2 linked regions of the Macaca mulatta genome follow. The protein of the gene in region 1 interacts with the protein of each later gene in a pairwise test. Links are inferred from orthologs where the notes say so. Each region holds a gene or a part of one and is shown on either strand. Other genes may lie near its edges. The genes, in order: GAPDH and PRDX1.

Region 1 (4,278 bases):
AGCAAAGAGGCCCAGGATCCCCCTCCCATGCACCTGCTGATGGGCCAAGGCCACCCCACCCCACCCCCTTCCTTACAAGTGTTCAGCACGCTCCCATCCCACACTCACAAACCTGGCCCTCTGCCCTCCTACCAGAGAAATGGATACCCTGTGGGAAGGGGCAGGGGGCCTGTTCCCACCATGTGCCCAAGACCTCTTTTCCCACTTTTTCCCTCTTCTTGACTCACCCTGCCCTCAATATCCCCCAGCGAAGCCAGTGAAGGGGAGTCCCTGGCTCCTGGCTCGCCTGCACGTCCCAGGGCGGGGAGGCACTTCCGCCCTCACGTCCCGCTCTTCGCCCCGGGCTGGATGGAGTGAAAAGCACACTGTCTCTCACCCTAGGCAGCACAGCCCACGGGGCTCCAGGAGTGACTTTGTGGGAGGCCTCTGGGCCCCCACCAGCCATCCTGTCCTCCGCCTGGGGCCCCAGCCCGGGGAGAGCCGCTGGTGCACACAGGGCCTGGATTGTCTGCCCTAATCATCAGGTCCAAGCTACAGGGCTGCAGGACATCGTGACCTTCCGTGTAGAAACCTCCCCCTCAAGCCGCCTCCCGAGCCTCCTTCCTCTCCAGGCCCCCACTGCCCAGTGCCCAGGCCAGGCCTCGGTCCCAGAGAGGCCAGGAGCCAGGAGATGGGGAGGGGGAAGTGGGGGCTGGGAAGGGCCCACGGGCCCCTCCTAGCCCTTTGCTTCAGCTATTCCGGTGTCACTACCGCAGAGCCTCGAGGAGAAGTTCCCCAACTTTCCCGCCTCTCAGCCTTTGAAAGAAAGGGGAGGGGGCAGGCCGCGTGCAGCCGCGAGCCGTGCAGGGCTCGGGCTCCAATTCCCCATCTCAGTCGCTCCCAAAGTCCTGTTTCATCCGTGCGTGTAAGGGCCCCCGTCCTTGACTCCCTAGTCTCCTGCTGCCCACACTCCAGTCCTGGGAAGCAGCACCGATCACCTCCCATCGGGCCAGTCTCAGTCCCTTCCCCCCTCCGTCGGGGCCCACACGCTTGATGCGTGCCCAGTTGAACTAGGCGGCTGCGGAAAAAAAAAAAGAGCAGGGAGAAAGCAGGGCCCCGCTACTCGCGGTTTTACGGGCGCACGTAGCTCAGGCCTCAAGTCCTTGGACTGGGACTGGCTGAGCCCGGCGGGAGGCGGGGTCAGAGTCACCGCCTGCCGCCGCGCCCCCGGGTTTCTATAAATTGAGCCCGCAGCCTCCCCCTGCGCTCTCTGCTCCTCCTGTTCGAGAGTCAGCCGCATTTTCTCTTGCATCGCCAGGTGAAGACGGGCGGAGAGGAGCCCGGAGGCTAGGGACGGGCCTGAAGGCGGCAGGAGCGGGCGTGGGCCGGACGTGTTCGCGCCGCTGCGGGGTGGGCGCGGGCCAGGGTCCGGGTCCGGGCCCGGGCTGCCTCCGCATTGCAGGGGCGGGCGGAGGACGTGATGCGGCGCGGGCTGGGCATGGAGGCTGGTGGGGGGAGGGGAGGGGAGGGGAGGCGTGGGTGTCGACCGGGACCACTAGGCGCTCACTGTTCTCTCTCTCCGCGCAGCGCATCCCTGAGACACCATGGGGAAGGTGAAGGTCGGAGTCAACGGGTGAGTTCGTGGGTGGCTGGGGGGCCCTGGGCCGCCCGCAAACTGCGTCTACGAGCCTTGCGGGCTCCGGGTCTTTGCTGTCGTATGGGGTAGGGTAGCTGCGTCCGGCAAGGAGAGCTCAAGGTCAGCGCTCGGACCTGGCGGAGCCCCGCACCCAGGCTGTGGCGCCCTGTGCAGCTCCGCCCTTGCGGCGCCATCTGCCCGGGGCCTGCCTTCCCTAGTCCCCAGGAACAGGAGGTCCCTACTCCCGCCCGAGATTCCATCCGACCCGGACCCCTAGCTGGGGACGCTTTCTTTCCTTTCGCGCTCTGCGAGGTCACGTGTCGCAGAGGAGCCCCTCCCCCATGGCCTCCGGCACCGCAGGCCCCGGGATGCTAGTGCGCAGCGGGTGCATCCCAGTCCGGAGGCTGCGCCTGCGGTAGAGCGGCCGCCATGTTGCAACCGGGAAGGAAATGAATGGGCCGCCGTTAGGAAACCCTGCCGGTGACTAACCCTGCGCTCCTGCCTCGGTGGGTGGAGTCGCGTGTGGCGGGGAAGTCAGGTGGAGCGAGGCTTCCCGGCCCCTGCTCTCAAGTCGGCCCCTGAGCTGCAAGCCCTATTTCCCCTCCGGGTGATGCTTTTTCTAGATAATTCTCTGGTAAATCAAAGAAGTGGGTTTATGGAGGTCCTCCTGTGTCCCCTCCCTCCAGAGGTGTGGTGGCTGTGGCTTGGTGCCAAGCCGGGGGGAGCTGAGTCATCGGTAGTTGGAAAAGGACATTTCCACCGCAAAATGGCCCCTCTGGCGGTGGCCCCTTTCTGCAGCGGCGGCTCACCTTATGGCCCCCCTCTTCCCCTGCCAGCCTAGCGTTGACCCCACCCCAAAGGCCAGGCTGTAAATGTCACCCGGAGGATTGGGTGTCTGGGAGCCTCGGGAAACCTGCCCTTCTCCCCATTCCGTCTTCCAGAAACCAGATCTCCCACCGCACCCTGGTCTGAGGATAAATATAGCTGCTGACCTTTCTGTAACTGGGGGCCTGGGCTTGGGCCGTCTCCCATCCCTTCTCCCACACACATGCACACACCTGTGCTCCCACTCCTGAATTCTGGAAAAGAGCTAGGAAAGGACTAGAAGCTTGCAAATTAAAGCCCTGGGACTAGGGGGTTAAAAAACAACTTCCCCTCTTCCCCCGGCCCAATCTCTGTCCCTTTTGTAGGCGGGTCTTAGAGAAGGGGTGGGCTTGCCCTGTCCAATTAATTTCTGACCTTTATTCCTGCCCTTTGAGTTTGGTGATGCTGAGTGTACAAATCTTTTCTCCTTAAACGGTGCAGTTTGAGGCTGAGCTAGGCAGCAGCAAGCATTCCTGGGGTGGCATAGTGAGGTGCTGAATGCCACGTGCAAAGCTTGTGCCCAGACTGTGGGTGGCAGTGCCCCACATGGCCGCTTCTCCTGGAAGGGCTTCCTATGACGGGGGGTGTTAGGCAGCAGTGGAGCCTTCAGTTGCAGCCATGCCGTAAAGCCAGGCCAGCCTGGCAGGGGAGCTCAAGGGAGATACAATTCACCTCTTAATGGAGGTAAGGAGATGTTGGGGGTAAGGAGATGCTGCATTCGCCCTCTTAATGGAGAGGTGTCCTAGGGCAGCTCACATACTGTGGAGAAGCCTCCCCTCCTCATGCCTTCTTGCCTCTTGTCTCTTAGATTTGGTCGTATTGGGCGCCTGGTCACCAGGGCTGCTTTTAACTCTGGTAAAGTGGATATTGTTGCCATCAATGACCCCTTCATTGACCTCAACTACATGGTGAGTGCTGCCCCAAAGCTGATGTGGGAGGAGCCACCTGGCTGCCAGGCAGCCCCTTCACACCCTTGCGTATTCCCCCAGGTTTACATGTTCCAGTATGATTCCACCCATGGCAAGTTCCATGGCACCGTGAAGGCTGAGAACGGGAAGCTCGTCATCAATGGAAGCCCCATCACCATCTTCCAGGAGTGAGTGGAAGGCAGTGGGAGAAATGTGCTGTGGGGGGCAGCTAGGGTGGTGCGGCTCCCTTGGGTACATGGTAACCTCGTGTCCCTCAATATGTCCTATCCCTGTCTCCCCCACCCCATAGGCGAGATCCCTCCAAAATCAAGTGGGGCGATGCTGGCGCTGAGTACGTCGTGGAGTCCACTGGCGTCTTCACCACCACGGAGAAGGCTGGGGTGAGTGCAGGAGGGCCCGCGGTAGGGGAAGCTGGCTCAGCCCTGCAGAGGCAGAACCCGGGTTTATAACTGTCTACTTCTCTGCTGTAGGCTCATTTGCAGGGGGGAGCCAAAAGGGTCATCATCTCTGCCCCCTCTGCTGACGCCCCCATGTTCGTCATGGGTGTGAACCATGAGAAGTATGACAACAGCCTCAAGATCGTCAGGTGAGGAAGGCAGGGCCAGTGGAGAAGCGGCCAGCCTGGCACCCTGTGGACACGCTCCCCTGACTTGCGCCCCCTCTTTGTTTGCAGCAACGCCTCCTGCACCACCAACTGCTTAGCACCCTTGGCCAAGGTCATCCATGACAACTTTGGTATCGTGGAAGGACTCATGGTATGAGAGCTGGGGAATGGGACTGAGGCTGCTGCCTTTCTCATGCAGGGCTGGCTCCTCCTCCCGGCCAGGCCTGCATGCAACCCTGGGGGCTGGGCCTTCTGGGGACTGGCTC
Region 2 (3,804 bases), on another chromosome or scaffold:
ATTCTTTGCTCTTTTGGACATCAGGCTTGATGGTATCACTGCCAGGTTTCCAGCCAGCAGGGCACACTGCAAAAGAAAGGTACCACTAATTAATAACCTTCTCAATGGTATGCACCACCATTCTCCTATGGACAAAACCAGTTCTGCACCCTAAAGAGCCTGAACACTCAGATACCAGGAAACCTACCCCTGCAATCGGTCTAAGATCATTCAGCCTTTTAGTGTAACCTAACTATTTTACAAACATTATATAATCATCACCACAGCCTTAAGATACTATTATGCCTAATTTATTCATGTAGCACTTAAAATTTAAATTTTCCACAAAAAAGGCAAGTTTAAATGATTTGCCAACACTCTCTAGTCCTTAAGGGAAAAAAAAAAAGCTAAGTAAATGATACACATAGAACTATGTAAACCCTTAACACTAAACTGTTTCCCTCTGACAGCCCTTCAGAACTCTGAAGGCAGCAACCTCAGTCTGCCTTCTCAGCATTCTTCTAACGCTACCAAACTGGAAAGCCTGAACCTTATAAAGGATCAAGAACTTAATAGAAGCCCCTGCTTGTTTCATTAAGTAACTGCCATCTACCCCTCGGTAAGCAAAAGGCAAAGTTTGAGATTTTTCGTGAATGTATACAGAAAGCACAGCCTTCAACCTTTTCCTGACAATGCCTAAGAATGTGTCTCAGGCTAGCCTGAAGAAAGTGAGGCAAGGGGACTAATCTCTCATTTTTCTTTTTCTTTTTTTGAGATGGAGTCTCGCTGTGTTGCCCAGGCTGGAGTGCAGTGGCGTGATCCCCACCTCTCTCTGCAACCTTGGTCTCCCAGGTTCAAGCAATTCTCCTGCATAAGCCTCCCAAGTAGCTGGGATTACAGGCGCCTGCCACCGCACCCGGCTAATTTTTGTATTTTTAGTAGAGATGGGGTTTCACGATGTTGGCCAGGCTGATCTCAAACTCCTGACCTCAGGTGATCTGCCTGCCTCGGCCTCCCAAAGTGCTAGGATTACAGGCGTGAGCCACCGCACCTGGCCTGATTTTTCCACTACCATGTGCTGTCATATTCTACGAGACATGTAATCAAAGTCCAGCAGGAGCAGCAAGAGTCTCAATTGCTCAAGTGAGACATAGGGAGGCCCCTCTTTGGTCCAAGGATATCATAACCTCAAATATCAAGACTCTACAAACAGCTCTCTAGGCATAAGGTACAGATGGAACAAGAGCTAAATAGAAGGACAAGCTGCCATTATTTTCCTAAAATCTCCATCTGATTGTTAGTTATTGGCTTTAGTGATATCAAAGGGTTACAATACAGGTCCTAAAGATAAACAAGTTGGAAAGAACAGCATAAAAGCAAATAAATACCAGCCTGGCCAACATAATGAAACCCCGTCTCTACTAAAAATATAAAAAATTAGCTGGGCGTGGTGGTGAGCGCCTATAATCCCAGGTACTCGGGAGGCTGAGGCAGGAGAATTGCTTGATGCAGAGGTTGCAGTGAGCTGAGATCATACCACTGCACTCTAGCCCGGATGACAGTGCGAGACTCCATCTCAAAAAAACAAGTGTTTGGCAGCCGGGCACAGTGGTTCACGCCTATAATCCCAGTGCTTTGGGAGGCCAAGGCGGAGGACTGCTTGAGCTTGAGCTCAGGAGTTCTGAGACCAGCCTGGCCAACATGGCAAAATCGCATCTCTACAAAACATACAAAAATTAGTGGGGCATGGTGGTGGGCCCCTGTAGTCCTAGCTACTCAGGAAGCTGATGCTAGAGAATTGCTTGAACCCAGGAGGTGGTGGCTGCAGTAAGCCGAGATCACACCACTGCACTCCAGTCTGGGCAACAAAACAAGATTCTGTCTCAAAAAAAAAAAAAAATATATATATATATATATATATAGTGTTTGGCATTCATAGGCTCTTGAATGGTGCCTATTTAAGAAGCTGTACATGTTCCAGTGGGATGGGAAGCAGAAGAGACCAATAGAGTCTGAAGAAGCAAGCTTCTGAGTCATGAAAGCTTGTGTTCGGGAGACTAACCTATATGTAGGTTCCCAGGAAAGTCCAGTTAAAGGGCCTACTTTGCCACTGCCGGCTCCTTCTTAATGCTGAACCTCATCTCCCACAAGGGGGCAGTCTCAGCAGGTGTCAGCTGAGCCATGTGTTATCTGTCCAGGCTAATTGCCCACACATCCTTCTGAAAAGGGTACCTCCTGGTTATCAGTGCTCACTGATCCCTATATAATCAGACTCTTACAGGGATTAAAAAGTAATCCCTGTAAAAAGATTATTTGGTGCTAGCCAAACTAGCACCTTTGGGTCTTCCCAAACATACACCACTAATCCAGACTCTAGTCACTAAACTTCATTTTCTTTAAATCACAAGATCAGAGCTAAAATGGGCCTTAGAAAGCTAGTCTGGGCTGGGCGCGATGGCTCATGGGAGGTGGAGGTCACAGTGAGCCAAGACTGCGCCACTGCACTCTAGCCTGGGCAACAGAGCAAGACTCTGTCTTGCAAAAAATAAATAAATAAATAAATACAAATATGAACTATATGGATTAACCTCTTCTCTCAACAGTTATTTTTTAAATGGCATGCTTCATCTCTAGATGTGATTCCCAACCATTTTGTTTTGCCCTAATACATCTGTGAGATCATCCTACATTAAGTTAGATCTTTAGGAGTGACTGATTCTAAATGAGCAGGGCAGAAGAGAGGAGTATGTACACTTCGAATAAAAAGTCTTTATATTCTCCTTCCCAAGCTTTTCCATTACCCTCACCCTCACATACTGTAATCCAGGGGCTTCAATATCTTGAAGAGAAATACCCCTTTTCTTATTAGGTAGCTTCTGTTCCTACTATCTTTCCCATTCTACCACCACTCTGTTATCCTTTTATCAGACAGATGGCTTACCTTCCCCATGTTTGTCAGTGAACTGGAAGGCCTGAACTAGTCTCAAAGTCTCATCCACAGAGCGGCCAACAGGGAGGTCATTTACAGTGATCTGCCGAAGAATACCCTTATCATCAATGATAAAGAGGCCCCTGGGAAAAGAGATGAAAGGAAAAGCAATACAGGTTTAAAGATGTGCTTTGTTAGAATACAGAAGCTTGAAGTCTTAAGGAAATGAACTGGTCTCCACATTCATACTGGCCTGGCCTTAGTGAGAAGGCCCCTGCATAAAGGAATGAAATGATGAAGGAGTCTCTACAGATCAGGGCTCTAGATTTCTCCAAATAAAAGGCTTTCAGCCAACTGGGTACTTGTCCTGATGACATACCTGAATGAAATGCCTTCATCAGCCTTTAAGACCCCATAATCCTGAGCAATGGTGCGCTTCGGGTCTGATACCAAAGGAATGTTCATGGGTCCCAGTCCTCCTTGTTTCTTAGGTGTGTTGATCCTACGGCAAAAGGCAAACACAGTTACATTCAAACTCTTGACTTAACTGTACCTATTCCTCTTTCCCCCTTTCCCATATTCCTAATCTAACTTTCCAAAAAAACTGTTTTTTTCCTTTTCCAGCAATAAAGTGAATGCTGAGAACAGTTAAGGTAGGTTACTAGGGTACACTCAACTGCAACTGAAGCTGCTGCTTCTCTGCTGCCAGGTCATGAGCAGTAAGAGAAAGTCAGACTTTGCACTTCTTCCATGAGAAGCCAATACTTGAAAGTCTATTGCCAAAGCTTCCCAGTTGCTGTTTTAAAAGTTCACATGCGGCCAGGTGCGGTGGCTCACACCTGTAATCCCAACACTTTGGGAGGCCAAGGCGGGCAGATCATGAGGTCAGGAGATCG

Evidence for each region.
Region 2: the proteins of GAPDH (region 1) and PRDX1 interact in a two-hybrid assay, tested with the Homo sapiens proteins (2 studies listed by BioGRID and IntAct, with this or other methods). The link is inferred for Macaca mulatta from reciprocal best matches to the Homo sapiens genes GAPDH and PRDX1.

Annotation. Positions count from the first base shown.
Region 1 is NC_133416.1:7,484,547-7,488,824, forward strand, and holds the start of GAPDH (glyceraldehyde-3-phosphate dehydrogenase), read left to right. Parts: upstream 1-1,254; 5' UTR 1,255-1,297; exon of another isoform or gene 1,298-1,389; intron 1,390-1,566; 5' UTR 1,567-1,583; coding exon 1,584-1,612; intron 1,613-3,287; coding exon 3,288-3,387; exon of another isoform or gene 3,388-3,410; intron 3,411-3,468; coding exon 3,469-3,575; intron 3,576-3,697; coding exon 3,698-3,788; intron 3,789-3,878; coding exon 3,879-3,994; intron 3,995-4,081; coding exon 4,082-4,163; intron 4,164-4,278. UniProt on the Homo sapiens protein: Has both glyceraldehyde-3-phosphate dehydrogenase and nitrosylase activities, thereby playing a role in glycolysis and nuclear functions, respectively.
Region 2 is NC_133406.1:195,098,591-195,102,394, reverse strand, and holds part of PRDX1 (peroxiredoxin-1), read right to left. Parts: intron 3,411-3,804; coding exon 3,288-3,410; intron 3,052-3,287; coding exon 2,921-3,051; intron 2,564-2,920; exon of another isoform or gene 1,837-2,563; intron 1,716-1,836; exon of another isoform or gene 1,530-1,715; intron 67-1,529; coding exon 1-66. UniProt on the Homo sapiens protein: Thiol-specific peroxidase that catalyzes the reduction of hydrogen peroxide and organic hydroperoxides to water and alcohols, respectively.